Linked DNA regions of Oreochromis niloticus. Each later gene encodes a partner of the first gene's protein in a complex. Links are inferred from orthologs where the notes say so. Each region holds a gene or a part of one and is shown in the gene's direction. Other genes may lie near its edges. The genes, in order: rbm48, rbmx2, sf3b5 and cript.

Region 1 (7,370 bases):
GGGAGTGTTCACTCTGGCTGGTAATGATCAGACACACCAGGCTAGAGTGAAGCATCACCTCATCCACCACATCCTGCAGGCCTGCAGCCACAGTGAGACAACATTACTCATCAAAGCAGGAAATGATTATCGATCCTGTCTGTCAAAAGACATTCCCACAGGTAAGAAAATATTTTACTTTGAGCAATGTGCTGCTGAAGCAGTGCCTCCGGGCCGTGTTCATGTTCAGGTGAGGCTGGTGCCCGCGTCAAATGATCCAGGTCATCAAGTAGAACAACAGAGGGCTGCCTCCACTCTGCCTGTTCAAAAATGTCCATCAGATTCTGTCTCACAGTTTCTACCCTTTTGCCTAAAAAGAAAACAATTTTTTTATATTAAGTTCAATTTTATCTTTCTTTTCCATTCAGACAGCAAATATTCATGAAGTCTTTCTTGACCTTGTAGCTTTTTGCAGTCTACCACTTCAACGTGTGCATCCAGCTCTTCTCTAGCTTTCCTGCAGAAGGCTTGGGATAGAGTGCTCTTCCCACTCCCCTGCAGAGAGAAGTCACAGCACAACATGTTGCAGACTTAACAAAACAATACTGGTTAATAAGTGTTCTCCAGTGAGCTTAAGCTGCCATAAAAACCAAACAAACATCAACGCTATTAAATATCAATTTATCTTATGTTAATTAATTATACTGACAGCCGTTGTGTTAGCAATAGTAGTTAACTTAAATGTTAAGTAAAGAGATACCTTGGCACCAGTGATGAGAAGAGCTCCACCTTGAAGTCCCCGACCAGTGGCACACAGCTCTCTCGAGAGGGGACTACCCAGAAGGCTATGGGAGATAAACTCAAACCCAGTTCTACAAAGCTCATCCATCCCACTGGGAAAAAAAACAAACAAACATGAGTGAGACTGATGGAGAAAGAATCGCCTGCTTAAATCATGCATTTGTACTGAATTAGCAAAAGACGTACCCAAGAATACTAAGAGAGGGAAGTTCTGGGTGGGGTGTTTCAGCTCCAGGCTTCACAGCTGGGGTGGTTACTGGCTCTCTGTCTACCTGAAGATGAGAAAAAGACATAACTGTGAACAACTTCAAAGACTTTTTTTTTCTCTTAAAAACGTGTTGAATTTTTTAATAAAAACTGCATGAAGCAATCGGTTTACATATAAACTGTTTAAAGACACAGATATATAATTCTCCATTTGCATGGTGATACCTGTATGTCTTTCTTCTGGATAACTGTGGGTGCTAGAAGAAACAGCTGATCTGAAGCTTCAGTCTGTGGTTCTGGTTTCAGCACAGTTAAAGCAAACTCTAGCTTTGCTATGGAAAAGAATAAAAAGTGAAGGGACATTATTTTTTAAAAAAAAGCTAATTTAAGATATTTATTATTACCCCTTTTTTTAACCTTACATAGCCATATGCAAATCTGTCTGTACATGATTTATAAATACACTTCTTTGGCTTGTAACGGAAGTGCAGGAATGAATCACCATCAGTTCCATGTAGGAGGATGGTGCCAGACCGTGCTGTCAGACAGGCTAAAGGTTCGTGACTCTGTGTGTGCAGCCAACCAAGGAAAGCTGTCTGGATCTCCTCATCATCCTCCTCAGGCTGAAGAGAAAAATGTCAAAAAAAATCAGATGGACAGAAAGGAAAGAAGCTGAACAGATTTTCTGCAATTCTGATCAAATTATATGTCCTTGTACTTCATTTACATCCGACACTGTAACGCAGATGTACATTCCAGCACTCACCAGTGGATTTAGGGGTTGTAGGCAAATAGTAGAAGCTACTTTGATAGCTGATTTCACTGACTTAATTCTTACTGTTGAATGGGCAGGGATATTCAGCCTGCTGGCCAGAGGCTCTGGAATCTAAAAAATGAAAGATACAAAAATTTTAACCAAAACAGAAAGAACTAGGGCACTGCGGTATAGCTAAAATACTGTTTATAAACTATATATTCTCCTCTTCAGACACCATACTCACCCATACTCTTCCACTGTGAATCTCTCCCTTGCTTCTTTCCTTGCATCCAAACAGCTCGGTACAATGGCACACTGCCCTAACCACCATGGCCTCCTCTTCCTTCACCTCCTCTCCTTCAGGTGTAGCAGTCTCCTTAGTAACTCTTGGCTTCTTCTTTTTCTCCATTGCCTGCTTGGTTCTGTCCCTCATTTCTTTGGGGGATGGGACTTTGGAGAGAAGGCCATATGTAATTGAGGAGTGACCTTCACTCAGCCTGGCATTGAAACTGTGGCTCCAAGGAAAGATGTGAATAGCATTAGTTGCAACGTGGCTTATAGTGCTGAGAGAGTGGGGAGGTGAACCGCACACTCTGTACAGAGAGTCCGTAAGGAGAGCGGGGATTTCAGGTAAAGGCGGTTGTTCCTTAACTGGGTCATAAGCGCCCTTTATCATGTGATGAAAAAGGCTTTTCAGGTCTGCTATGCCACCCCACTGGTGGCTGTTAGAGGTGGAGGAGGTACTTTCTGATGATGGTCCTGAAGGGGAGGAGAAATCCATGTTTGGCTGTCTGTGAAAACTTTCTGAGTTTGGGTTGGCTTTTAGTTGAGAATGTGTGTGGGTGCCAGTTTCTGCGCGGATCTTCGGGGACACAACAAGTTCTGTGAACTGCTCCAGGCGACCGTAGGGCACACGTGGAGAAAGTGAAGCTGTGCAGAATTTAAAAAAAATTAAACTGTATTATATAAGTCAAACATTTAAAAATGAAGTTGAGCAGGCAAACCATTATAACTGCAATATTTCTGTGTAACATGTTATTTGATAAACAACATATAACAGAATAATTGTATCAAAACTGACCTATTCGGATAAAGATTACCGTGTGGTTGTCCACCCACACAGGAAACACGGCATCTTGGAAAACTACTCTGATCTGATCCAGTAGTTGCAGCTCCAGTGCAGAACTGTGGAGCTCCTGGCGATGTCAGTCACACAAAAGTGATATATTAATACTTCTTAAGAGTGCTTTAAAAAGGAGAAGTCACCTTGTAGTTATTAGAGTGTGTAAAATAGTGCAAATTGTATGAAGACAAGTTTCACACACTGTATGTAACTAAATTACCCACCAGGATTTCCCAGTCATCAGCTGATACAGGCTCCACAAACACCCGATCCAATGATGAGACCTGATGACATGGCCTTAAGAAGCCCTGAGGGAAAACAAGCCAGTAAACCAAACAACTAGTAAGTCCAAAATTAGCTTCTTCTGTAAATACAGCGAAGAACAGATTCCTCACGGAGGGACTCTACCTGCTCTCCATCTGTCAGGCCCTGCTTCTCTCCTAGCTGCCGACACAGCTCCACTTTGTGGCTGTCCAGGCTAGAGCTGGCTCTGTTTTGAGTCCAGGTGAGGAACACTGGAGGCCCATGACCACAGGACAACTCCAGAGGCTGGTTCTGAAAAAGACCGTAAATGGGTTGACTGTGAATGCCACTGTATACAAAAGTATTCTAAAGTCATTGCCAAGTTGCATCCCATGCAACTTGGCAATGACCCCAAATTAGAGCAGCAAATCTACAACAGAGTGGCTGTAAAGGAAAGGAATCAGTGTGTTGCAATGGCCCAGTCAAAGTCCAGACCTCAGCCTGATTGAAATGCAGGGTCTAAAGAGAGCTGTGCATAAAAAAATTCATGCAAACACTGTGAAGTAGAGTGGGACAAAGTTTCTCCACAACACTGCGAGACACTAATAAAGACATAAATAAAATGGTTACTTCAATTTAGTGCTGCTAAAGGTGGTTGTACCAACTTTACTGAATCAAGGGGTGTACTTTGTTTTTCACATGACTGCATGTTTGCTGAAGCACCTTTTGTTTACCCAGACTATACCATGACCATCATCCTTGCTTGCAACCATGCTTGAGAAAACAAATCCTCCTCACTCAATCCATTTTACACAGTTTAGACTAATAATGACAGGGTTAACCCAGTTCTGAATCCTTTGTAATTAAAGGTCAAACTCAAGGAGAGAAAGCCACGAAACAGGAATTCCTGTCAGCCAAAAAAGTGCAAATATAAACAGAAAGCTCTCATCAGAAAACCACTGTTCATTCATAACAGCGAACAGGACACAAGCTAGAAAAGTCATTTAAAAAATACCCTTAGACCCCGGATTCATTTCTAACACAGTCCTTTGCCTCCACCAAGTGAAACCGTAAAGGAACTGCTACGAAAACAGCTCCACCGAGAAGGAAACAAATACTGAAATACCAATTGCTAACTACCCTCTCTCTCCATATGCTGAAGTATTGTGTTTGACTCAGCTCCTCTTCTATCTATATTCAGAGCATGTTTCCAGCCGGGCCGAAGTGGAGTGAATGGAGTCATGAAAAACTGATCTTTCAAATTCATTTGGTCTAAAGAGCAGCCTGACGCGAGGCTGAAGTCACATTTTATTTTGTAATGTGAATAACTGTCAAAGGGTCTCGAAAATTAATTTACAGCAGCATTAATTTTGTTAAAAAATAAAAGAATAGAACAACACACAGAACGGGCCAACATTTTAGCTAAAAATGGTTTAAGTCAACAAAGCTTCTACTAATTTTACCTAAACGATAGTGCTAGGTGGTTAGCTAGGCTATCTTACCTCGTTCAGGGAAAGCTGTGATATTAGCTTCAAGGGAAGGTGTAAAAAGCAGTTTTTTGCGTTGTTAAAAGTGACCGTTACGGGTTGAATGCCCTGATTGCTAAACATGATTTTCACATAGTTTTCTATTTCGCGTTCAACGCGTCAAGCAAGCTGCACCGCTAACATCAAGTGTGTGACAAACTCATAGTCGATCGATGTGCTCTGTGTGGGCCAGGCCAGACCAGAGTAGCCGATATTCGGTTGAACGCATTTCAGAATAAGACATCCAACGACGCCATGCTTTGAATGAATCCTATTCAACATGAAAATGAACCTTTATTTTGAAATGCATCAAGTGAAAAGTTCATTTCCACAAACATGGCGGCTCCCGTCAACAACAGCTCTGGCTGTTGGAGAGTCCCGGAGGTTTACAAACATCACGAACAGCGGAGAGTGTGCATTTCTCGACCAAAATATAGGGAAGGAAGAAAAGCCAAAGCAGTTAAGGTAAGAAGACGCTTCTGTTTAGAAATATTTGACCAAAAGAGCGTATCTTAAGGTGTGAGACACCCCCTGCTACGTGGGAACGCCACTTACAGTGTTGTTAAAAAACATCTGCTCCCGGATTTTATGGACTCCAGTGAACCACAGTGAGAGCCTTGACCACATCTAGATGATAAATATAACCACTATTCGCAGTTTTCACATGAGCATTTTTCCATCAGTGTACCGCAGTCAAGTGTTGCATTATTTGCAGGTTTACACCATAAATTTAGAGAGTCGTTACCTGATGGTCCAAGGAGTCCCAGCGATTGGGGTTATGACTGAGTTGATTCAGCTGTGTGCCCTTTATGGAGCTGTGGAGGAGTACAGGCCCCTGGACGAGTATCCTGCCGAGGAGTTCACAGAGGTCTACCTCGTAAAGTTCCAAAAACTCACAAGTGCCAGGTACAAGATGTAACTTAGACTGTTCATTATGCCTAACTTGCAAAGTCTGAAGGACCTTCTGAATAATTTGGTTTTGTTTCAGAGCAGCAAAGCGACGCATGGATGAGAAAAGTTTCTATGGTGGTGTGCTGCATGTGTGCTACGTCCCCGAATACGAGACTGTGGAAGACACCAGGCTCAAGCTGCAGGACCGGAGGAGCTATGTCATCCGGGCTGCTCAGAAGAGAGGTATAATTTTATATCTATAGGTTATATTTTGCCTCACAAAAACGACCACTCCAATGAGAAACATCTTAGTTCCTCATTAGTCCAAGCAAACAATTTCCACCATTTCCCTTTTGCACTTTTATTTTAATTTGACTCGGATCTTTTTGAATGATGGGGATTTCTAAACTTTTTTTTCTGTCTCATTTTATTATTGCAAAGTGAGAGAAAGGGAACAGAAAGAGGACACACAAGAGGAGCCTTCTTCATCAGAAACAACTACCATGTCAGATGACAACATCCTCACACACAAACAGACCTCTGGAAATGACAATACAAGGGAGACTTCAAACGTCAGCCACTATTTAGGCTTTCCTCCACTGCCATTACCTCCCCAAAAACATCATTACCATAGGCCTAAAAGTCAACATTTACCGACAGAGGATAAAATGGGGACTTTACACAATACCTGTGCTGGCACATTCGAGCAGCGAGAAGGGAGTTCAAGGAGCAAACAGACCTTATTGAGCAGACAGGCAGCACATCAGGCTGCGGCAGTCAGATTTCTTCCTCGGACCACACACTTGGAGAAACGGAAACGCAAAATGGAAGAGGCTGAGGAGCCCTCCAGTACTGTTTCTGGGCAGAATGAGCCTTTGATTGGACCAAAACTACCAGAACCATCCAAACTGGACATGGAGGATGAGTCACTGAACACAACTGTCAGCCTGATCAGGAACACAATGAAGCAGGTACATGTGATTATATTGTTTTGGTTGTAGTTAAGGACAAAATAATATTTTCACTATGATCTAAATCAGTTAAACCAGTTTCATCGTCTCTCCTAGGTGACATCGAGTCCAGACATCAAACCAGTGGAGAAGAAGGTCAAACCACGCCGTCGGATTTGATAGAGCAGGACTTTTTATTTATTTATTTTTTATTAAAAAATTTTGCATCACAGGACCATCTGCCATTGAGGTTAATATTAAAGATGTTTAGGCTGGGTATGGAGTTATGTGATTTGTTTATTGTTCCATTTGTTCCTGAAATACGCGTCCCTCAAACATCTCGATTCTCTGAAAAAATAAGAAAAGCAGACTGTAAGATTGAGAATTTTTGATGGGGAAATTTAAAGAGCTTAGAAGCTTCTCATTACAGATTACCCTGAAGTCAGGAAGGCAGGTTCCAAAAGCTTCCAGCAATAGGTTTTCATCTTTCACAGCCTTTTCAAAATCTTCAAAAGACAATTTGCCATCATGGTCATAGTCCTGTGGGAGGAAGCACCGTTGGCAGAGCTGGTAAACTATTTACAGACCTAAGAATTTTTTAAATAGTGTTTTGGGTTTGTTTTTTGTTTTTAAATCATGTGTAAACAGTTATATCTGTGCAGCAAACAGCTCACCATCTTCTTCAGTATGATCTCCACCAGGTCTTTGATTCCTTCGTCAGGGTCCTCCTCATTGGGTTGTCTGATGAGCCTGCCCTTCAGCATATGAAGCATCTCCTCTCTAGAGATGGCGTTGTCACCATTCAGGTCGTACACAGTGAAGCAGTCTGAGCCATGCCAAACACAGGGATTTTTTTAGGTAGATAAAGCTACATGTGTGAAGGTGTGAGAGTG
Region 2 (7,881 bases), on another chromosome or scaffold:
AACTCATATCTCAGTAAACGACGACTGCCTCAACCTCAGCTTTAGGTTTTCTGAATGTTGATTTTTTAAGCTTTGTCTTAAACTAATCAGCTCATCTTCTTGGGAAAATTAAAATTTTTACACCAGAAACAAAAACATGTATATAAATATAGATCGACTTCATTTTTTGAGGTTTGTTTATCTAAAAGATAAAAGCACACTCCAGGGAAACAAGCCCACAGATCATCCACAGATTTGAAACGAGAGCAGCTTGTTTTTCACTCGTCTGTCAGGCTGTCGGCGTCTTCTCGCTCAGGTGTTTCCCTCCCACAGGTGTTTGGGGGTTTACCTGCTCTCTGCTGGACTGGATTGGCCTGGTGGCTGCAGAGCTTGGAGCCACTTTGCTCTGCTGCGTTTCTGCTCCAAACTGCAACGTGAATAAACAAATAAAAACAAGGTAAACAACGCGGTGAATGCAGACTGTCAGCTGACTGCAGAATGAACACTTTCAACTAAAAATAAAATCCATTAAAGCTCCTCGAAGGCTCTGAAGTCTCTGTTCCAGTACAGTTAGCTCTGAAAATCAAAAACATACAGAGAAGTGTTTCAGCTAAAACAGTAAACTTTACACCGGGCCCGTCTGCCTGCTGCTTTGCACCCCACCTCCACCACGAATACCCTCAGTTTCTCCTGGTGTCTGATCATCGCTGTTGTCACTGCTCAGTAAATCTTGTTAATGTGGTGCTCCTGTTCTCAAATAAACTCTCTTTTCTTACTACAAAACAAAGGTGAGGATGATAAATCAAACTTGCCTTCTTGCGGCAGATGAGCACAACCTTACTAACTCACAGAGCTGCTTACAGTCAAACAGACTGAAGACGAGACATAATTAACTTTTACAGCCAAGTTTGACCAGCCAAACATTTCTCCTGGGGATCTTTACTATCGGCACAGCACAGACACGTTCCCTGGATGTTTAACAAAAACCAGACACAGGGGCTGATGGGAAACCAGGAGCGCTCAGAAACAGAAGACGACACGGAGGAGGAGAAAAACTTGTATTGAGCAGCAGAGCTGATAACAGTGGTGCACTGAGGAGGTCAAACCCGTTTTCCCGTAACTTCCAGCCCTGGGTGCACCGACTTAAGGTCACAGATTTAAGGAGGAGCCCAGCGCTGACAGAGTAATCCGTCCTTAAACCCTCAAATTTGGAGGAAGAAAACAAAACAGGCAGTTGTCTCGAGTCATTATGGACTCAAGAAGCCTGACCTTAAAAACATAGCTCAGATTATTTTCTTTGACAGGTTAGACGACTCTAACATCGTCTGCAGCTCATCCAGAGCCTCACTAAGACCAGACAGTGTCTAAAGGCAGATTTACAAAGCACTGAATGGACCTCGGCTCACATATTTGTTTTCTGCTGCCTTAGAAAAAGGCCCAAAGCTTCTGGCTGTGAAGCAAACGTCCTGAACACCTGATTCAGCCGAAACTCCTGTTTTTAATCCTGTTGTTATGACAGTACTTATTTTTCTGGGCCAAATCACCTTGAATGATCTGAAAAAGAAAAATGTGACTGTGATGCCTCCTGAGGACAGATGGCTGCGGTTCCCCTTGAAGTTATTAAATGTCAAGAAAACAAACCAAGAACAGGTGGAGTGAGGTGGAGCTACCGTACCAGGCCGACGTTGCTGAGGTCAAACAGGCTGAACGGCCTGGAGGTGACAGCTTCGGTCTGGATGAAGTTCTTCAGGACGTCAGAGGACATCGTCTGGATGTAACCGTAGTCCTGACAGACAGAAGGAGAGGAGGGTGTTTACATGAGCAGAGGTTCATCAAAAGAAAATGTGACTAAATGCTTGTTTCCCTCTAAGAGAGATGGAACAGGAGGTGCTAAATTTGCACTACAGACGAAGAGGAAAACACGCTGATCCACCCACAGCTCATGTTTTTATTTCTTCACTGTAAACCTGAGAGATAACGAGCTCCACACTGCTTCCACTTCCACACCAACAGGAAAACTTTCATATACGTTTGTCCGATGTGAAAAACGACAGACCTCACTGTCAGATGCTTATATTCACATAGACTTCTTCACAATCAGACCAGAGGAGTTGCCCCCTGGGGGATATCTGAAAGAGTGCAGGTTTGAGGCTAGGTCCATCTTTACGTATATTAAAGGCAAAATAGGTGGCAGCACAGAGACTCACCACGATCTCGTCCAGCAGCTCGTAGATGAGGGCGAAGTTCATCTGCACCGACTTCTCTGATAGGCTGCCGCAGTAATCTTTAACCAGAGCTGCTAACCTGCAACACAGAGCATGCTCAGTCAGCTCAGGTGTGCATAGACAGCAGGAGCTGTAACACCATCAGGTGTAGAGCCTCAAACTGTCTGAGGTCACAGCCATCCTCAAATAAAAGCACTCAGCTTACGGATGACCTCACACCTGTTGAGAAACTCGATGATGGCGAATGGCGAGGAGCCCACCGTGGTCGTGGCGACCCAGTACAGTCCTCCCTGCCTGATGTGGAGGAAGTAAAGATCCTTATGATTCTGCAGGAAAACAAAAGATGTTTAACCAGACATGAGGAGAAAGTAATTGTTAAATCAAACATAATGATTCCTTCTTCTGAAATCTGAGAACAAGCTGCTCATTGTTGGTTTAAATGTTTTTAATTATGAGCTGACTGGACAGAGTCAGGACAGAGTGCAGATGTTGCTGCATTGCAACAGCTTTTGCAGCTGGAAAGCTGACCACGTCACGGAAACATTGGGATCTAAATAAAATGAACCAAAACAGCCACCAGAACGCCGTGTGGGGTCCGAGTCATTCACACGGACCAATAATCTAACTGCTGTGAGGTTAACTGTTCAATCAAACCCTTCAAAAAGTCTGAGCTCCACTTTGTGTGTTTGGATGTTCCTGAGCATTAATCAGCAGGTATGCGTGTCTCAATAAAAAAGAAGCCATAATTTATTTACCATGACGACCGGAGGCTGGTCCTCGGTCAGCGCCGTGACCTTCTCGTAGAAAATACTGACAATGTCGTTACCAGCTTGTCCACGGACTGGTGGGTCAGGTCAAGGTCGATGTTTACACACAAAATAAATAAAGCGCATTTTGAGATTCAGATTTGTCCCCATATAACCGACTGTATGGAGGACTGGCACTGCCAAAATAAATTTACAATTAAAGTTTATTTAATGGGGGACTAATACATCCATTCATACAGCTTTCATTTGTCCTCAGCTGTGGGAACAGAAGGATACAGTCTTTATAAATGAGATGGTCCCCCTTCGAGGACAAGATGAAGACCTGAGAGATCATCCTGCTGAAGACACACAGGAGAAATGAGAAAATAATAATCGTCTTTATTTACTTATATGAATTTATCATGTTGCAAACAAAAAAGGCATAAAGTGACAGAAAGTGGTAACTAAATAAAAACACTGAAAAGTTAAAAAGAAAGAGTTAAAAATCAAGTACAATGAGGAAAAAGTTATTCTGTTTTTTTAGAGGAGACTTAAAGTAAGTACCCGAGGTCCACGATTTGATTTCCTCACGGCTCCTCATGCTCCTCACGGCTCCTCATGCTCCTCACATATATGTATACATATATATTGCTTTTAATTTTTTCTTTTCTCAATTTTTCCCTCGTTGTATATTATTTTCTCTTCTTACTTTTGCAACTTTGTGGTCCAGCTACCCAACTTCGCTGTGCAAGAAACTGCAGAATGACAATAAAAAGTCAAGTCTCATGCAAACACCCAGGTGATAATTGAGGTTACAATAAAATCTTTCGTCCTTAGTCAGATCTAATGATTCTTATGCCGAATATGATTTTAGCACCAAAGTAATCCGAGAAACCCTTAAATGTGATTTTAATGTGTACATGCGCTAGAGGAAGTGGAAAAAATATTTTAAAATGACGGAAACTGTAAGCGACCTCAGTCTAAAGCGATTAGCATGCGCAAATTAGCTTTTCACGCTCATTTTGTAAAGCTTAGGTTAATAACAGTTACTGATTCACTCACCCACAGATGGCCTCCGGGGAAACAGATGTAAAAAATAAATAAATAAATAAAAAAGTAAAACTTCAGGTTTCTTTTAACCCTTTTGTATTCCTAGGAAGCCATGACTGGCAGGGAAAGCTAATTTACTGATCCCAACTGGGAATTCGAGTGAGCTAACCCAGCATATTTTAACTCCTACGAATTCCCATGACAACCATTCATAATTAACGGATGAATGTTGACAAAACAGCAAAAATAAGATGTTAAAAGGTTAAATTAAAAAAAAAATGCGTTTGTAAGCTAGCTCCCGGCTATCCGGGTAGTTGATAGGTTAGTGTTTACAAACCGGGTCATCAGCTCGCAGTTAGCGCACAGCGCCACCAGCAGTGCAGGAGGATAATTTACAAGGAATTCCAGTTAAAATATTTAACTGGAATATTTAATATTTAATATTTAATATTTATATACAGCTACATAATCTTTCTATCAATATACAGTCGTATCTACACTTTCACTAATAACAGTTTAGATTATTTAGCCGTGTAAATGTAGCTTGTCTTAAAGACATCCTAACAGCAGGGGGCAGCACCAGCAGGGGCGGGAATTCAAACGGAAGTTGTTCCTGTCAGTGAGATTAGCCATTTTCAGCACAACGTTAATTTACAAACCGTGTTGTTGGTCATGAAGTAAGTAATTATTTTCTTATTAAACGTTTAATCTAAGTTTTTATTGTTTACTGATCAATGATAACTATTCGGTAATGATTGTAGCCATTCGAAAATGACTATTTGCTAGCCAAAGCGCACGCTTGAAGATCGTTTGAGTACTTCTTTATGTACATTCTCGTCTCCCAGATTCCATACAGAAAACCTGGCATTTGATGTGTATTTTTCACCAGCTTTCCCCATAAAATAATCAGACACACTCTCTGCGGTTATTATAAACATATAAGAGCCTTATTTCAATTCGGCATAGTGTAAAAAAGCATAAAATTAAGCTTGGACGAGAGTTTGACGAGGTGATCATCGCCTCCTGTTTTGGCCATAGGAGTATTTTTCTTTACCGTTGCGGGATGTGTGTTAGCTCACTAAAATAAAAATGAATCAGAGCTTCACAGAGCACAACGTGAAAACACCCGTGTTGCGTTCCTGTATGGTCAGCGTGTTCACGGGGCTTTAAATCAGTCTTAATCTGAATGGAGTTTGGTTTGTAGAAACAGACGTCATTACGCTCCACATATCTTGAAACAGTGGTGTAAAAATCACTTCTGTTTGTACCTTATGTTTAGTTTTAAATGACATTTCTTTTATATTTTACTGTTTATGGCTGATGTCTTTTTATTTTTTTGCCTTGTTATTTTAAGTTCATAGATGATTAAGCTCATGTTTCTTCTCCAAATCCTAAAATTTAGCCTTGCAGAAATAAAAACTTAAACGCTGGGTTGTCAGAGATGAAAGCCTGACTACCATGGGACTCAGAGCCTTTAGTTGTTCTGCCCCGAGACTTTGGATGCACTTCCACTTGCTCTGCGGACCACACACTGTCTCACCTCTTTTAAATCACTACTCAAAACCCATCTGTTCAGAATTGCATACACCTGATCTGTCTTAGGCCATTTTTACATTGCTCAGTTTTTATATTTGCTTTTATGATTGTTTATGTCTAAATTTTATCTACCATGTTTGCTATATATACATCTTTTTTAATGTTTTTTATGGTATTGTTTATGTGCTACTGTAAGGTAACCTTGAGGGTCTGAAAGGCGCCTATAAATAAAATGTATTATTATTATTATTATTAAAGCAGATGACTGTCACACATTAATCACAGATTATGAACCAGGATTCTGAAGAGGAAACACTTTTCTTTCCCAGTGAAACACTTTCTTTTCTCTCTGTGTTTTCAGTCCTCTAACGAAGGTAAAGCTGATAAACGAGCTGAATGAGCGCGAAGCCAGCCTCGGGGTCAACGAGTCTGTTTCCTGGCATAGCGAGTACAAAGACAGCGCCTGGATCTTTGTTGGTGAGACTGCGTGACAAACTGAATAATCAACAGATTAGCAGATAATGAAAATAATCATTAGTTGAAAGCTGAGGAAAAATGTAAACTCAGAGGAAGTAAAGGATTTTCTGTAAAGCTAGATCCTCACATGACTGACTGATTCCCCGTCCTTTGCTTCTTAGCTGACAGGTGGTCACCAGTCTGCCAAGGTCATTGGTCAGTCAGGGATTTCCTGTGCTCCCATTGGTTGTCATTTCTACTTCAAAGTTGCTGTCACTGCAGCACAAACTCTTTGACTCTTCCTGATTGGCTTAAGCTCCACATGTCAAGTATTAGTAAGCTCAAGAGGTTTTTCATCGATTGATATTTCTCATGTTCCAGATAAATGATCGACAGGTATCAAATCGGTCCCTACGGACCAATCAGATCTCTGGAAAATGACTTCACTCAATCTGGAAGATCCATGAGACATCTCGGATCGTGTACTCTGTGTTGAAAATTCCCACTTAAAATGTAATACAATAACCCTCATACCGCCTTAAAATCTGTACTCTGAGTGATTCCAGCAATGGTGAAGCTATTGTTCAGAGATTTAATTGGTCAGGTGATCGTGAGTTCCTACCTGCTGATCTAAAATCTTGAACATCACATGCTCTGGAGCAGGTTAGCTGTGCATCATAAGCATAAGTTACTAAGGTAGTAATACATGAACCACTGTTGTAACACCAAAGTGAAGCTAGTTTAAAAACCACAAATCCTGTTTCATAGTACACACAGAGTGTACAGGGTTTGATGAACTTCTACCCAAAAATAGGATAGAGTTGGCTTTTTGGAAATATTCATTTTACATCAAATAACGTGAATCATTACATTACCTTTACTTCAGCTTTAATAAAGACATTTTTACTGGAAATAGCAGTGTTGTTGTGTGCATCTACTGGATGCACACAACAACACAAAACTAAATGTTTTGTGTTGTTGCAGTGTTAATGTTACTGACATTAGTGATGAAGTAATGAAGGGTTTTTGGAGAATAAATAAACAGCGTTTTGGATGTTTTGTTTCCTGCAGGAGGGTTTCCATACGAGCTGACTGAAGGAGACCTGATCTGTGTCTTCTCTCAGTATGTATCTCATCATTTCTTAACTACACTACTCACAGAGTAGAGGGAGCACCGTGATTCACTTTGCTTTTCTCCTTGAACCTGTCAGGTATGGAGAAATCGTCAACATCAACCTGGTGCGTGACAAGAAGACTGGAAAGTCCAAAGGTTTCTGTTTTATCTGCTATGAGGACCAGAGGAGCACCATCTTGGCTGTGGACAACTTCAATGGCATTAAGGTGACACGACAGACTCTGCTGTCTGCTGCACTGATCTAAATCTCATCTGTCTCATAGATTACAGTTTGTTGCTGTTAACACAAACATCAGTCATGGATGTCCACAGGGTCCTGTGCTTCAAATAATACTGTTTGTGTTATATGGGAAAACACTACATCTGTTTTCATTGATATGCAGATGATACCCAGCAATATTTATCCAGCCACCAGATGACACAAATAAAGTTAAACTACAGTGTAATTATTTAAGAAATCTTGGAGTCATTTTTGACCAGGACATGTCCTTCAATGCACATATTAAACAAATATGTAAGACTGCTTTCTTCCATTTGCGCAACATCTCTAAAATGAGAGATATCCTGTCTCAGAGTGATGCTGAAAAACTAGTTCATGCATTTATTACTTCCAGGCTGGACTACTGTAATTCTTTATTATCAGGATGTCCTAAAAACTCACTGAAAAGCCTTCAGTTAATCCAAAATGCTGCAGCAAGGGTACTGACAGGGACTAGAAAGAGAGAGCAGATTTCTCCTGTTTTGGCTTCACTTC
Region 3 (8,030 bases), on another chromosome or scaffold:
TCAGTGACTTGGACTGAGGCTAGAAAAACCTTCACTGCATTTTCTTACACATATCAAGATCAGACAAGTCAAATGAATGATTGCTTTGCTTGTCAATTCATTTTTTAAGATCAAAGTTTATTATAATTATGGCACATATGTCTCATATTTATTGCAGTCTAAGTTTATAGTTTATCCTCTGGTAACACAAGTCTGTTATCCACCTGTCTTCTTCTACCTGTCCAACATGCAAACTCCACACTGAAAGACCACAGAATGGATTCAAACCCAGGACCTTCTTGTTGTGAGGGGACAGTGCTAACCACTGCACCACTCTGCCAGCCAATCAAAAAAGATAATAATAATTTAAAAAAATAAAACCCTAACCCTTACCTCTTTACCATTTCTATTAAATTCTGTTCTTTTTTGCAGACAAAGTTTTTTTATATATATATATTCAGTAGTATGTTGTCCACTTAAAATGCAGTGCAGGTTATGAAAACTGTTGAATACTGAACATCAGAGTGCTACAGACTGGAATTTAACTGGGAAATGTAGAGCAGAAGCATAATTTAACAGGCTTTATTAGCGGCACCTATTTTTCTACACCTTCTATCTCACTGTTGCACCTTCAAGTGGAGACCAGAAGACTGAGCATAATAATCGTGCCTTTATTCACATTGTTGCCAAACCCTTTTAACAGTCCGCTGCACTTATTTTGCATTCAGCTCATACTGAGGGATTAGAGTCTCAAGAGGCTGGAGAGTTTTTATCCTTCAGCTGCACTAAACTCTGCATGCTTCTCTGTTATATGCAAAGCCACAAGCAATGTAAACAACATCCCATCTCCCCCACAGCTAAGGTGTCACCCAGCTTTGTTTTCCGTACCAGTGGTTTCTGCCGGGATGTGCTGCTGAGAATATCATCCCTGGGGTGCAGTTTGATAAATGCACCTTCCTGTTTTATTGCTATAATCCATCATGCCACGTTATTTTCATCAGATATTTTTCTACAGAACGAGTGAGCTAGACTGTTGATAGTGAAGAGCAGTCCTCATGGGACATAATTCAATGTGATATGTTGTCTTCTGTAGTTTAATCAAATGTAAAAATAAACCTTAATGAAATGGTCCTAAAACATGGAAAATGCTTTTGTGTATCTATATACTGATCTGATCTGACACATCATAGGAATGTAACTTTGATGGCACTATTCTGTTTTTCCAGTGATTTCTTCCAGATTTCTAGTTATTTCTAAATGTTGCAGAATTCCAACTCGTTGCTGCATATACGGCTCCTGGGATCAAAAGCAGAAACATTCTTGGGTAAAGCCAGCAAACACAATCTTTTGCAGCTACCCAGATAACCACAGCGGTCTCTGAACAGTAATAAAGAGATGACTCGGCTCTATAAACAACCAACCAAACAGTTAATATAAAGAACATGCAAAATTCAGGTAATCATCCAAAGTGCAATATGTTATCTTAAAAGGGTTGGGACTGAAAATAAGTTTGGTAATAAAAATAAATATAACTCTCAGGAGAATGCTTTTGCAAAAATTAAAATTACCTTCGGGTAACCTCAATGCACATCTTCCTGTTATCGCGCCTTAGAGATGAACACAGTCTACGAGATGCACAAAAACTATTAAAATTAATGAAGCAGAGGAGTCATGTACTCATAGTTTCTGTAGAAATGTTGGATTTAAATTGTTTTCCCCAAAGAAACATTTTACAATGTTCAGCCAGACAGTAAAATGTTATAGTAGATGTAGTAATAGTTTTTACTAGACCTTCATGGCTCCCAGAAAATGATCTGAATGCTACTGATACCAGAAGTCTCAACATTTATTTCCTTTGTGTTTCTTTAGTTGGGACCCTAATGGCATTCACACTGCCCTTGGGATGAATTCCAGCCTGTTATGTATTCATAAAATGTATGCATTTATTGTCAGGTCAAAAATTTAAAGTGTCCAATACCATTGTGACTAAATACTAACATTCCAGGAATAAAACAGCAGTAACACAGGCACCAAAGTCCAAGGAATGTCAGTTAGAGTCAGCAACTTGTAGAGATGACCCTAAACCTTACCCTGAGTTTTTAGTTGTCCAAATATCAGCATAAAACAGCAGCTCCCAAATTTATTTCCAAAACTGTGTTAAAAAAATTAGCACTGCAGCTATACACCAGTATACTTAACTCCATGTTTATTTTGGGACTGTGGGAGGAACCCACACAGTGAGAACATACAAACTCTACACAAAAACAGCCCCAGACTGGATTCAAAAATCCTTCTTGCCGTGAGGCAAACCATGCACTATTGTGCCACATGTATTGGCACACTAGTCTATTCTCTTTAGATAACATCTAAAGACAATAGAGCCTAACTATTCACAAAATATAAGTAAACATTTCAGAAATGTGGTGATTTTGGCTCAAAATTAAATGTTGAGCCAAGAATATTGCCCATCATCCTACCCATGAGTGCCATAACGCTAATGTCTGTGGTTAAGTTATTACTGCTTTGCACCTAGCCACAGAACATCATACAGACAAATTTGGCAGTTTAACAGAAAACAGGCAACACAAACAGAGACAGACACATTTTGAGCTAATTGGGTCAAACAGCTAATGAGCCTATGGAATGGCAAGGCGCCTGTTATCCTTCACTCCCACAATTCACAAGAATCACTGCTCCCATTCGACTATTTGAGAGACAGATGTCCTGGTATGACATAAATAAACTGAATTGGGTTGAACTGAATTAAACTGAATTGAACTATTGGTCAGAATTTAGTGAAACACAGTGATCACCTGATGGTTCTTCACTGAAACTGTTCTCATTGTCAATGTCAAGGTTACAGTTGTTGTTTTATGGACATTTTTCCATTTTCACAAGAATTACTGTTTCTCCTGGAGGTCCAGTTTTAGTGAAATGACATTAATTTGTCCTGGATCTGACTGTTTACAAGCCTGCTTGACTTCTCAGTGGATTTCAATTCTCATGAGTTTCTGCAATAAAGCCAGCCAGTAACAACAAAACTTTCTTTCTCCACCTCACACAATACAATAACCTCTGTATTATGATGGATCATGAGGTGGATGAGCTACTACATCGCTGACATTCTAGCAAAGGTGTCCGTGCCCTAGAGCCCAGTCTATATGATCAAATAGAATAGAATAGCTTTATTAACCAAATCCATGGAAAATTGCCTTTGTTTCACCAAGTTGCTTCAAATGAACCCACATTCATACATATACATATACAACACTTCAATACAATAATAAAAACACATCACAGCATCTCATTATTCAGTATATCAATTGCTCTTGGCACAAATCCTCCCTTATACACCTCTATACCTGGAGGTGTCCTATAATGTCGTTTTGAAGGCATTAATTCAAAATCAGAATAGAGAGGGAGGTCATGGTCAGCAATAATAGACCGGGCTTTCCTCAAAACAGACTGATGACACAGTTTATCCAGTTTAATTTGATGTTGACCAATAATTTGATTCTGAAAATAATGTGGTTTGTTCTTAAATTGCCACAGTCAGGTTATTGAAATATTGGACGTAATGATGTTTTCAATCAAAGTGACATAAACATCGTGGTTAATTCCAAAGTCCCTTAACATCCTAATAAGAAACAATGATTAGGTTTCTTGTAAATGGGGTCAACATTAACCATAATATTAACCTTGTCATCAATATATGTTAGCATATATATATAAGCTATTAATGACTTCCACAGACTGACCAGAAAGTGAAAGACTGTAATGGGGCTTGTGTAATTCAACACAAGATCTTTCATTTTGTTGACATTAATCAACAAATGACAAGATTTAGCACCATTCTTCCAACCTATGTACCTGAGCAAAACAAATATGGTCAGAGTTCCTATAAAAGTGATCACTGGAAAGAATTGAATGAGGAATAAAGGAGAGAGTTTGTTATATGGTGACACATCCAGTCAGTCTGTATGTACGGTTAATAGGCTTCTGTCTTTTTTCCATATCAGGCTGTGGCTGAATATGATGTTGATCAAAATCTGGAATTATGCTATTTATATGACTGATTATTGTTATTATATAATATTAATTGTGTGTGTGCGCGCGCGCGCACATTATATCGCAAATGTGCACATTATTTACTATTCCCTACATACTAAATGTTAGGCTTAAACTTATGATAAGCAGATGTTTTCATTTGTTTGTAACTGCACAACATGTGATTCTGAGCCAGTGCCCCTCAGTTTATTTGTTGTAAAATAAACGTTGCCTCACATACTGTACAAAATTTCAAAAATCCGAATAGAAGCACACAGGTCGCGAACGAGCCGCTCGTTTTGATGTTTGATTGATTGATTGATTGTTATTCTCTGTATTTCCTTAATTATATAATTAACTGCGGGTTAAGAGAACAACAGTTTTTTTGTCAGTGTTAAGTGATGCATTGCACCTTCGTACTTGTGTGTATTACTAATACATTACAATACTATGCACATATATATATAATTAAGATTTAGGATCTACACGAGAAACGCAGAGTTTACAGTCTATGTTCCTTTCCGGTTCATTTTACTGGGCGAACCAACCGGAAGTGATCGCTCCGTGGTGCTGTGTTGAGGTGGAGACAGTCGTGTAATTTATTTACATCTCCTACCTTCGTGTTTGAATTCCTGACATTTTATGTAAGTATCCGTTGTATTTTAAACTTAAAATCTGTCTTCCTAGTTATTATATTAACTTTAAAAGGAACATTTAGAGAGCGGTTTACAGATACGGTGAATAGGCTAACAATGGCTAATTAGCCTCACATTAGCATTAGCAGGAAAACAAAAACCGGTTAATTTCTCTGTTTACATAGAAATGTCTTTACTTTAAATTTAAATAAAATGTAAATTGCTTCAAACTATTATAATCATTCATTTCGGGTTAACATTTGTTGTGGCATTGCTAGACTCGTAAATACAAAATACAAGAAAAATATTGAGGTTACATGACTGAACTTGCGTCTCCTTTTTAGCTGCACGTTTCTTGTGATGTCCGCATGTGCTGTTGCTGTTAGATAGCGTTTCATTCTTGGGTCCCTGTACTTATAAGCCTTAAACGGCTTACAATAGATGGTTATTTTGGCTCCGAATCAATCAGCCTTCGGTATGTGACTTTACTCAGAAGAACAACGGCTGGTAAAGAAAATGAGTCTTTGTTTCTACAATGGCTGGCAATAAATATAAAACATCAGAACACGACCACTCTGTTACTAAAACAAAATTCACAAGTATAAATGACAGCAACAAGGTCGGCGACTTACGTAAGTTGTGTCGTAGACGCAGAATGCCCACAGAAGTCTAAATCGGACCTTTACCTGCACTTCATCTGTGGTGACAGCCTTTTCCTATTTCTTAACAACCACTGGATAAAAACCAGACCTTAGAAAAGTGTCTGTGTTGTATTTGGGAAAACCAGAGCCAGTGAAAATGTGGGACACAGTCTCAATATGTGGGATAAGGGATAAAAATACTGTAACACAATAATCAAGGTTATTTTTGCTCAGTATTAAGGTTGCAATTCTTTAACCTGGTAAGACTTTTGAGCTTTTTAAACAATGAAGACAATTTATTTCTTGTTCTTTGTCACTTTTTTCAGTCAAAGGTATTCCAAACATATGAATTGGTTTTCTTTTTGATGACCAAAAAACTCTCTCTTTATATCATTTTTGGTTGAGCTGACCTGCCAAAACCTGAAGGGAACACTGGGTGTTTAGTGAGGGGCAAAATTGTGCCAGTGCAAAGGAAGGGGATTCACTGGATTTATAGAATAGGACAAAATATGAACCCTCGCCTTTTGTTAAAAGACAAACAGCACAGTCGTAGTCTTTTTTTTTTTTTCAGTCTGTAAAAGATAGTTCTAATTGAATACAGACTTTGATTAATAGCCCATCTTAAAGTTTTTAGCCTGTTATCTCATTGTGTGGTCCATATTTATTTTTATTTATTTATTTTGTATTTGTATTAGAGATGGACCGATCCGATATTACGTATCGGTATCGGTCCGATACTGACGTAAATTACTGGATCGGATATCGGTGAGAAATTAAAAATGTAATCCGATACATTAAATATTAAAAAAAACACCTCACAAAACTTGCGACAGGGTGTAACTCGGCTCATAACCGTAGCACGTCGGAGCAGTATGCCTCACTGATAGAGCGGCTGTGTGTATTTGTAGCCTCACTACCAAACCAGCATTTCATCTCTGAGAAAGTTATCCCAGAGAGAAGTAAAGCAAGTGTGTAAGTTCATCTCTGAATGTTTGTAAAGCGTTCCCATGTTAAGCTTAACAACCGATATATGGAGCGACTGCCTCTCTCCCTCCCTCACCTTCCTGCCGCTACTTCAATCGTGAAACTGCTTAACGATCAGCTGATCGGCTTTTCTGTCGGGAGTCCGTCTCTCTTCTTTGTTTTTGGCCCACTTTGCACCAGAAAGAGGAAACCAGCGGCTGAACAACAGCAGCACGTTTAAACTTGATAAGCTGCTGTTAGAATTTTTATTTAATATTACTTTCTACACCAGGATCCTTTTAGCTGACGGCTGGTAACTGTGCAGGGGCGGATCTAGCAAAGTTTAGCCAGGGGGGCCGATAGGGCATGAACAGGGAAAAGGGGGCACAAAGACATACTTTTCTTTCTTATTCTCATTTAAAATGTCTAGCTTTTAATAAATAATTATCTGAATCTTACACCCAAAGTTTTAATCTGATGTAAAATGTATAGAAGTCCATTTCTGTATATAGTAACTGTTAAGTCTAATATACTCTAGTAAGCTATAGTACTTTTTCCTTTGGGAAGGTACCATCTGTGCAGTCTGCAATTCTGTTGAAGAAAGATGTTGAATCTATTTAATTATTCTTGAAAAATAATTTAATTCTGTGCATTTTTTTTCACCCTGCATCAAATTAAAGTTGATTACATCGATTAAGCATCATGAGGTGGAGGATGGGGGGTGGTTCCCTATTTTTTTTTGCTGGGAGTTTGCAACCCTATTAGTTAGGTTGCTTAATATTTCTGCTAAGTACTCTTTAAAATACCAGAATAGGAAGGATGGAGCAGGTTTAAGTTTATTAGATTGATCAGTGTTGCTGAACTATAAAATATTTTGGGTGCAGTGTATTTTTTACATACAGGTATAACAGAATAGCTTTAGTGTTATTGTTTATTTAAACTTGAGTATGAACTTATACAAAATGCAGCAAGATATTAAAAAAACAGTTTTATTGATTAAAAAACACACTATATCGGATTCATATCGGTATCGGCAGATATCCAAATTTATGATATCGGTATCGGTATCGGACATAAAAAAGTGGTATCGTGCCATCTCTAATTTGTATTCTAACTTTTTTCTCATCTCTTCCCCTGTTTAGAGCCTCCAGGACTCATTTCAGCAAGAATGACAGACCGTTACAACATCCACAGTCAGCTGGAGCATCTCCAATCAAAGTATATTGGCACAGGACACGCCGACACCAGCAAGTGGGAATGGCTGGTCAATCAGCATCGTGATTCCTACTGCTCCTACATGGGACATTTTGACCTGCTGAACTACTTTGCTGTAGCTGAGAACGAGAGCAAAGCGCGTGTTCGTTTCAACCTGATGGAGAAGATGCTTCAGCCATGTGGACCACCAGCAGATAAACCTGATGATGCCTAGATCACACTGGAGTGAGCAGTGGGTGCTTTTTGTCAGAAACAAAAAATTTCCAACTAAAACTGCTACTTCGTCCTTGTTTGACTCCACCATCACTGGATTCCTTGTCTACTTATAGAAGAGAAGACTTTTTCATATTTTGGTTTTATATGGACCAGATCAAAATATTTTCTTGCCCAGCACCATTTTCTAAACAGTTGTTTGAAGGTGAAAGTGCTTCAACAGCTGAACATATACCAGAGAACATAATAGAAAGCAGGTATAAAGTGGTGTACTTTCATCTACATGTGTTTGCATTAAAGGATGGAGATGTATTCTTGATTTCATTAAAATTTGTCG
Region 4 (7,804 bases), on another chromosome or scaffold:
TTGGAAGTTAACAACTTAAATCAACTACAAAAAAAAAATGTGTAATTTACACCAGCTTTTTCACTCTGACAGCTACCACACCGGCTTCATGCAGGTTAGTGCCCAGTATCATCCTCTGGCACACTTGTGTTATATATCACCATAGCAACCTATCATTTCATTCCTGCTTTTGAAAGACAATCTTTACTTCTGTCACTACAGCACATCAGCCTGATGTTGCTGCTATTAATACACGTGTATTCCAATTTTTTTACTGTTTTCTCTTCCTTTTCTCCCCTTCTACAACACTTTTGCTACTCACCAACTAACAAAGCAGAAAAGTACCCATTTAAGGTCATTTTAAAGGTATTTTTAACGGAATAATGAAAACACAAGGACATCCACCTCCTCCATTCATCAAAATGAAACCAGTAATTTACAAGTCCATGCAGTTAAGAGGCCTTTGTGAATCCAGCAGTCATTTGAGAAAACCTCAGAAAAATCTAAGAGAGGCTTCGCGGGTAATATGGTTTAAATGGTCGTGTTAGTTCCCTGTCTTAAGAGCAAAAACTCCACTGTGGATAGAGAACATTTCTACATACAGTGGATTAGAGATTTAGTCAGACTCTCTCTTCCAAAGCAAGAAATATTCATTTTATTTGCAAAAAAAATTTAAAATTGACATTTGATTCTCCGTGCTTTAGTGGTTAACAAATTAAACCAGGGATGGAAAAGATCCCTGGTTTCAGACCAGAAGACACAAACCCAGCCTCGGGGTCACAAGCTCAGATAAATGTGAAGGTTGTGTCAGGAAGGGCATCTGGCACAAACTCTGTGCCAAATTAAACACGTAGATCCATCTGCTGCGTCGACACTTGGGGAAAGAAAAAGTACTGAATGTACCTTCATTGCCAGCTAATTTGCTTACAAAGTGCCACAGCCAGACTACTGACTGAGCCAGTTCTTGGGTTATTTTTATCTAAATGAAATGAATGTGTGTAGAGGAAATATCAGGAACCCGTTTATTAAACTGCAGCATGTAATTTAATGAAAAAGGAGCCTAAACATAAAAAAGTCACATGCTAGACTGTATAAGACCTAATGTGAGGATACAAATCCAAGAGTATACGCTTTGTCCATGCATAGAATTACCTGCCAGGGCCTATCCCAGTCCAGAGGTATGGGGAATGCTCCGACCCAGGCTCCAACAAGTGTGCAGGCCACAGTGATCTGCAGACAGGTGTCCCACACAGACATAGCTCTGGAGCCAGAGACAAAGAAAAAGCAAGAACAGTTACTATCTTCAACACAGAGTCATGTGAAAAGCCAGGAGGAAAGAAAAAGAAGGAAAATGATTTCAGCCTTACCCGTGGCGACTGAAGACTCGTATCCAGGCCTGGACGTTGGGGCCGAGGACACAGAGACACCTCAGCGTGGTTAACGAAGTCAGCAGCACAGCAAGGGAGAATGTTTCTAAGGCAGATCTGTAAGAAATGATAGGTTCACGGTATCAACGACAACTACAATAAGAGCGTTATTGACAGTTTTGTTTTTTGTTTAAAAAAAAAAAAGCACATAAAAAAGCAAGCAGAGACAAAGTAAAACACTTTAGATTAGATTAGATGAAACTTTATTAATCCCTCGGGTGGGTTCCTCTGGGAAATTCAGTTCACTTGACTTTTTATAAGTGACAGAATCATTTCAGGGTTTGAAGATTTCTGTAGTTGCCTGCTGTTTTCATTCATTTATGTGTGATCCTTCCATGGATCCTTAGTTTATTGTGTATTACTGTGGCGATCTCTGCTCTCTGCGTCTCTCTTTATCAACCTCTGTTAAACACATACATGTAAACACGAGCAAAAACAACAACTCACTCGATCAGTGGAGCTCCGTATAAGACAACAACAGTGTGGAAGAACAGGCACGACAGGAAGAAGTACAGGCAGGAGCGAAGCAACCTCGACAGCTGCAGAAAAAAAACAGCGAGAAAACAGTCAAACCTTTAAGATCCAGATATAAAAAGATCACTTCCTGGGAAAAAAGATCTTGGTTTGATGAACATGCAAGAGTCAAGTATTCACATTAATTTATATACAAATAAGTCAAGATGTTTTTCTTTTTTTGGAAAGGCAACTTTAATTTTACTTGCCATACCCTGGCCTGATTACTGCCAGACGTGTTGAATTAAAATATCACTTGAACAGAGTCTGTCTGACAAAGTGGAGTAGTCTAAGAGCAACACATTACACCACAATCCACAAACCACACACAAAGACTGGGCAAAAATGGCATCCATGGAAGAGTTCCAAGGACAAAACCACTGCTGACCAAATTTAAAACAAAAGCTTGTCTCATATTTGCCAAACAGCATCTTATTGATCCCCTTAGAATTTTGGGAAAATATTCTGTGGACTAGCAAGACAAAATTTGAATGGGGCAATTAGTGTTTCACATAGGGCCAGGTCGGTTTGGATCGCTTTCCCCCCTTAACAAATGAAACCCTCTTTTAAAAACTGCATTGATTGCACTTTTAAAAAAAATAAAACAGCCCATGTGGCACTGCACACATCACTCCATCATTATTAAAGCGTTATCAGCACCTTGTATCCCAGCGTGTGCTTCTTGGCGGGCGGTGTGATCCCGAGCAGCCAGAACACGGCCACGCTGACCGCGGTGACCGCAGCGGACACCGAGTAGAGCCACAGCAGGTGTGTGCCGTACACCGAGAAGCCCGGTACGAGCACAGCAGGTAGCACCGTCGCCATGAACACCGAAGCGGCGATGATAGCGTGAGTGGACGCCATGGCTCTGATTTCATGGTCCCACATTGTGAAGGCTGTAGCGAACTACAACAGGACACCGACAAATTGAACACAAAACACTTTAAACCTCAACGTAACGCTGGATTTGTAGCACAGGTAACATCCATAGATGAATCGCTTGACCTTGTTTCCGTAAACATGGAACCATGCTCACTTCCGCTTTCACTTCAAAATAAAAGTACAATACTTATTCCTTGTAGATGAGGCAAGACAAAGTTCAATAAAAGTACATTATAGTTTTAACAACTTTAAATATATTACAGACAGCCATGCATTTAGTATACATTTGTTGCTGCCACAGTGAAACGAAAAAGCTTTCATCCAAGACCATGGTGCTACATATAACAGTAAATCAACACAGGACTAATTAAAGTGCAAGTGTGCAAAAATGGCAAAAAACAGTGCGACACCAGATAGAGCAGAACCATACAGACACAAGATGGTGCAATAGTTTTACAAAAAGACTTTAGCATTGTGCAATAAGTACTTGAGGTAATGGAATGTATAAAGGTGTGTGGGTGTGTCAGTCTTGTCTCTGAGTATTCAGGAGTCTGACAGCTTGGAGGAAGAAACTGTTTTGTAGTCTGGCACTGAGGGCGTGAGTGCTTCGGTATGTCTTACCAGAAAGCAGGAGGGTGAAGAGTGTGTGTGAGGGGTGTGTGGGGTCCTCCACAATGCTGGTGGGTTTGTGGATGCAGTTGATTCAATAAGTGTCTGTGTTGGAGGGAAGACAGGCTCCAGTGATCTTCTCAGCTGTTCTCACTTTACGCTGTATGGTCTTGCGATCTAACACGGTGCAGTTTCCATACCAGACAGTCATGCAGCTGCTCAGGATGCTCTCGATACTCCCTCTGTAGTAGGTGGTGAGAATGGTTGGTGGGAGATGGGCTTTTCTCATCTTTCACATGTGAGACCTGGGCCAATGCAATTGGTCCAGTGTAATTCAATCCAAAGTGACAAAGGAGTCATTGAGACTTTTGTGTTTTTATATTTGTGTAGAACATTTTCTAATCCATTTTCAGATCTCTCAGCTGCTCCCTTTATGGGTCTGTGGATCATCTGCCTCCATCTCATCCTACCACTACCCTGCTCATCTGTCACACCAACCCTCTCCACCCTATCCTCCTTTACTACATCCATAAACCACCGTTCATTTTATTATTATTGTGGATTTTGTTTTAAGCCACTTTTACCACAGATTTTTTTTTTGTTGAAAACAAATTGTATGTTTGTGGTATACTTGTTTGAACATAATCCTTTATTTAATCAGTTTCCCTATTTAATCAGAACATGTGAACACTGTCACATGTAGCTAGATGTGAACCACTATTTATCAGTGAGGGCCATTCTTTTTCTACTTTCACTGCTATAACGTTATTCTGACGGGAAATAGAAAAATGAGATTCTTCAGTGTTCTTTAAACTATCTCTGCCTGACTGCTATAGTCGCCTACTGTTTGTAAGCTTTAAAAGTTTTTTATTATTATTTATTGGATTTAATTATTTCACACGTATTTCATACGTTATATTTCACACGTTATATTCACACGTGTGAAATAATGCAGCAGCAAACTTTTAATTTTTAAAGAAAACTTACAGGTTTTCGTCCACTTTACAGATGAACAGGGGAAACTGCAACCAATCACAGAACGGGTTACTTGGACCCTCGCCGAAGCGCAGTAAAGCTAACCAATGGCATCTGAGATTTGAAATCTAGGCTTTAACCAATCAATCGTTTGCGAGCTGCAAGGAAACGGAAGTAACGACCGGAAGTTTACATTAACAGAGAAAGCTAAACGCAGCTAACGCTTCTGCTTCTATTTTAACAAACAAAGAAGGACAATGGTTTGTGAAAAGTGTAGGTATCTCGCCATTCTCCTATCACTTAATTTATTTTAGATCTTCAATTCTAATGTCTTTTTTCCCGTTAAGAGAAGCTCGATGATCCTTAGAAAGCTGGCTAACGCTATGTGATGCTAACTGTTGTTATTACTGTCCTCACTGTTGTTTTGGTTCAGGAAAACATACCTTCACCTTCTAGGCTTATTTCCTTTAAATCCACTGCGTTGCTTTTGTTACATATGCTGCGTTGCTTTTTATCTCCAGGTGAGAAGAAGCTCGGTAAGGTCATCACTCCTGACACCTGGAAGGATGGAGCCCGGAATACAACAGGTGAACAGAGTAAAATCTGGATTTGTTTCAGTTCAATGGCATAATGTCACCAGTGTGCAAGGGCTGCTTGAATGACTTAAAACAAACAAAAGAAAAATAAGAATATGGTTTGTGGCATAGTTCTGGCTCCTTATTTGATTCCATCCACCTTATGCAGTCTACCAGTATCACTGGCAGCATTATGCTACCACCAGTCCTTTGCAGTATAAAAGTCACTTCAAATGAACGATGGTGTTCGAAAAGTTTCTAGTTCATGACCAATCTTGTGCCTTGGTGATTCCTCGTTTCCGTCCTCATTCAAACCTTGGCAAAGTGGTAGCACATGTAAGTAGTTTGTATTTACATACAGTTGTTTGAACTGACGATTTTGGAGTCCACAGTTGTTTAAAATTGCTCCAAGAAAAGTACCTAATTTTGTAAATCTACAGTTCTGCTTTTTAGATCTTCACCGAGTTCTTTTGACTTTCCTATTGTTCTGAGTATTGATGACTCCAATGAGTGTTGTAAAACAAATTATTTTTGTGTTAGCAAAGCGAAACTACCAGTTGTAGTCAATCATGATCACTGAGGAGGAGTTAAGAAGTTTTGGCCTTGTCAGGTTAAAATACATTGTAGAACATTCAGCACCATTTAATGAAAAACTTATGATAGTGTGTGTATATTTTTGATCCTGTATGTATACTTTTGACCCTGTGTGGATTATAGAAAATCCAAACCTGTGCACCCAATTCTTGTTTTTGTTTTTTTGTTTGTTTTTTTAAAGTCATTCAAGATGTGTTCTGTACAATTATTCCCTTGGAAAAGGAACAGTTGAAAGAAATAATTTAAAGTCCAAAATTACTATTACTATTATTCACAATGTACATACATGTACTTTGGAGATGACCTGATATCCAATTTTCTTTTCTTTTCTTTTCTTTTCTTTTCTTTTCTTTTCTTTAAAACCAGTGATAGTAACTCAAGAATATAAGCCTACAATCATCTCTGACTTGCATATCTAAAGGGCTTTTATCTGCAGTTTATGGAGGGCATGGAGTACAACATAACATACCAGCAGACCAAATCACAAACATTCATACAAGATTGTCGAACAAACAAGGCATTTATTTACAATCAATTTACAATAATAAAGTAAACAGAAAAAAAACTACTTATTTTTATTGCTAAAAAAGAAAAGAAGCACCAAGTTACATGTCAAAGCACAAATACAAAGCCTACGCTCCCTGCCTGGCCACAAAAGCTTCTGCTAACATACAGACAAGTTTAACCAAACACAACAGAACAGAGCAGGTCCCACAGGTTTGCCACAGTTCAACTCCCAAGATCACTATAAGTAATCCTGAATCAACATGCATCTCTTAGCTTGGTGACTAAATGCAAAGGGGCACTTGCTGCTGGAGCTAATTACATGGATTTTACAAACAAGCATAATCCCGTACGGCTCTGGCAGTCAGGTGTGGGAGAACTGCAACAAAGACAGGCGAGAGCAGCTGTCTTTCATGAAGTGGCCAAACAATCGGAGGGCATAGCAGACATATAAAGAACTGCACTGATGTATCATGAGATTAGCAAGTAAACTTTTTTAAATGGTTGAATATGTTTTAAACATTTATACATGTTATAATGTGACTCTATGAACTTTAAAAGTTCTCATTTTAGTCCAATTTTTAGAATTTAACTCTTAAAGTAAACTTCAACTAAATTCTTACCACTAGATGACACTCTTTAACCATTAATTGTTTATATAAGTGCTGCTGAAGTGAGAAACAAGGAAATACCGGGTTTGCCCTGAGATTAGTGTGGTACAGTGGTTAGCACTGTCACCACACTACAAGAAGGTTCTGGGTTCAAACTTCTTCTGGGAGCTGATGTGTCTTCCACAGTATGATAACATGCTTGTTAGGTTGACTATAAATCAGTTGTAGATGTGGATTTGAGAGTGAAAAGTTGTCTCTCTGTGTTGGCTGTGTTTGCTGTACCGTGTCTCTCACGCTATGACAGTTGGATAAGTGGTTAGGAAAACACTGATAGATGGCCTGAGATCTGCAGCTATGATGTGCTAATCACACAGAGCAAATGTGTTGTTATTGTAAGGTGAACTCCACTGAGCCTAAGCACTGAGGACTTGATGAAGGCTATAACTATAAGGCTATAACTTTTAATGTAAAGCTACTCTCAAGAAAGCATCTTATTAGCATCCGTTACTAGTAATTACAGAAAAAAACATGAAAGGAAAGAATAAAGATTTTTACCCACTTAGCTGATATCAATCATTGCTCTATGAGAACGGTTAACTGAGATCCAGTGCTTCCTGGCTTGTATAACCTTTCTCTTCATATTGGAAGTGGGAAATAAACTCCCCAAACAGCTACCTAAACAGGATCTGAGAGTGGATCACAGTACATTAATCAATCACTGTCCCTGTTGCACGGGCTAAACAACTTTTTTTTGGCCAAACACCGTGCAGTATAAGTAAAATTAGACAGTTAGCACATGGCTGACATTACCAATAACCTCGCTCATCTTTCCTGTGCAAAAGCACAGAAGCACAAAGAAAAATGTCAGTTCTGCATAATTTATTCCTTTACTACAATCCTGCAATCCTGTAAAAAACTAGGGAATTAAGAGGGTAGGTAGCATTCAGGTACTGATAATCAAATCCATTTAGTTTTGGTTTGATCATCAACAAGTGTGAGCATCTCTATAAAAGCATAGGTTTTAGCAGTTTGCCTGTCTGGAGCATTCAGGTGTATTTTAACATGATGCCAAGGAAGAAAGACGTCAGCAATGACCTTAGAGAAGCATTTGTTGATGTTCATCAGTCTGTTTATG

The links.
Region 2: rbm48 (region 1) and rbmx2 share a complex: the UniProt entries of both Homo sapiens proteins name them as parts of the minor spliceosome. The link is inferred for Oreochromis niloticus from reciprocal best matches to the Homo sapiens genes RBM48 and RBMX2.
Region 3: rbm48 (region 1) and sf3b5 share a complex: the UniProt entries of both Homo sapiens proteins name them as parts of the minor spliceosome. The link is inferred for Oreochromis niloticus from reciprocal best matches to the Homo sapiens genes RBM48 and SF3B5.
Region 4: rbm48 (region 1) and cript share a complex: the UniProt entries of both Homo sapiens proteins name them as parts of the minor spliceosome. The link is inferred for Oreochromis niloticus from reciprocal best matches to the Homo sapiens genes RBM48 and CRIPT.

What each region holds. Positions count from the first base shown.
Region 1 is NC_031985.2:22,586,892-22,594,261, reverse strand, and holds rbm48 (RNA-binding protein 48), read left to right. Parts: upstream 1-4,946; 5' UTR 4,947-4,972; coding exon 4,973-5,101; intron 5,102-5,191; coding exon of another isoform or gene 5,192-5,263; exon of another isoform or gene 5,264-5,318; intron 5,319-5,351; coding exon 5,352-5,542; intron 5,543-5,624; coding exon 5,625-5,770; intron 5,771-5,968; coding exon 5,969-6,498; intron 6,499-6,594; coding exon 6,595-6,657; 3' UTR 6,658-6,760; downstream 6,761-7,370. Other genes in the region: peroxisomal ATPase PEX1, read right to left, coding at 1-81, 179-349, 438-534, 740-872, 967-1,052, 1,213-1,319, 1,490-1,610, 1,754-1,873 and 5 more; clxn (calaxin), read right to left, coding at 6,775-6,825, 6,913-7,017, 7,152-7,303. UniProt on the Homo sapiens protein: As a component of the minor spliceosome, involved in the splicing of U12-type introns in pre-mRNAs.
Region 2 is NC_031975.2:31,901,227-31,909,107, reverse strand, and holds the start of rbmx2 (RNA-binding motif protein, X-linked 2), read left to right. Parts: upstream 1-4,527; 5' UTR 4,528-4,672; coding exon 4,673-4,677; intron 4,678-5,897; coding exon 5,898-6,013; intron 6,014-7,063; coding exon 7,064-7,115; intron 7,116-7,203; coding exon 7,204-7,333; intron 7,334-7,881. Other genes in the region: ap4m1 (AP-4 complex subunit mu-1), read right to left, coding at 329-406, 1,655-1,765, 2,187-2,283, 2,424-2,530, 2,960-3,045, 3,248-3,305. UniProt on the Homo sapiens protein: Involved in pre-mRNA splicing as component of the activated spliceosome. As a component of the minor spliceosome, involved in the splicing of U12-type introns in pre-mRNAs.
Region 3 is NC_031978.2:12,070,186-12,078,215, forward strand, and holds the start of sf3b5 (splicing factor 3B subunit 5), read left to right. Parts: upstream 1-4,518; 5' UTR 4,519-4,670; intron 4,671-7,407; 5' UTR 7,408-7,433; coding exon 7,434-7,694; 3' UTR 7,695-8,030. UniProt on the Homo sapiens protein: Component of the 17S U2 SnRNP complex of the spliceosome, a large ribonucleoprotein complex that removes introns from transcribed pre-mRNAs.
Region 4 is NC_031973.2:10,624,386-10,632,189, forward strand, and holds the start of cript (cysteine-rich PDZ-binding protein), read left to right. Parts: upstream 1-4,506; 5' UTR 4,507-4,642; coding exon 4,643-4,658; intron 4,659-4,828; exon of another isoform or gene 4,829-4,906; coding exon 4,907-4,972; intron 4,973-7,804. Other genes in the region: pigf (phosphatidylinositol-glycan biosynthesis class F protein), read right to left, coding at 1,132-1,240, 1,347-1,463, 1,854-1,945, 2,580-2,807. UniProt on the Homo sapiens protein: As a component of the minor spliceosome, involved in the splicing of U12-type introns in pre-mRNAs. Involved in the cytoskeletal anchoring of DLG4 in excitatory synapses.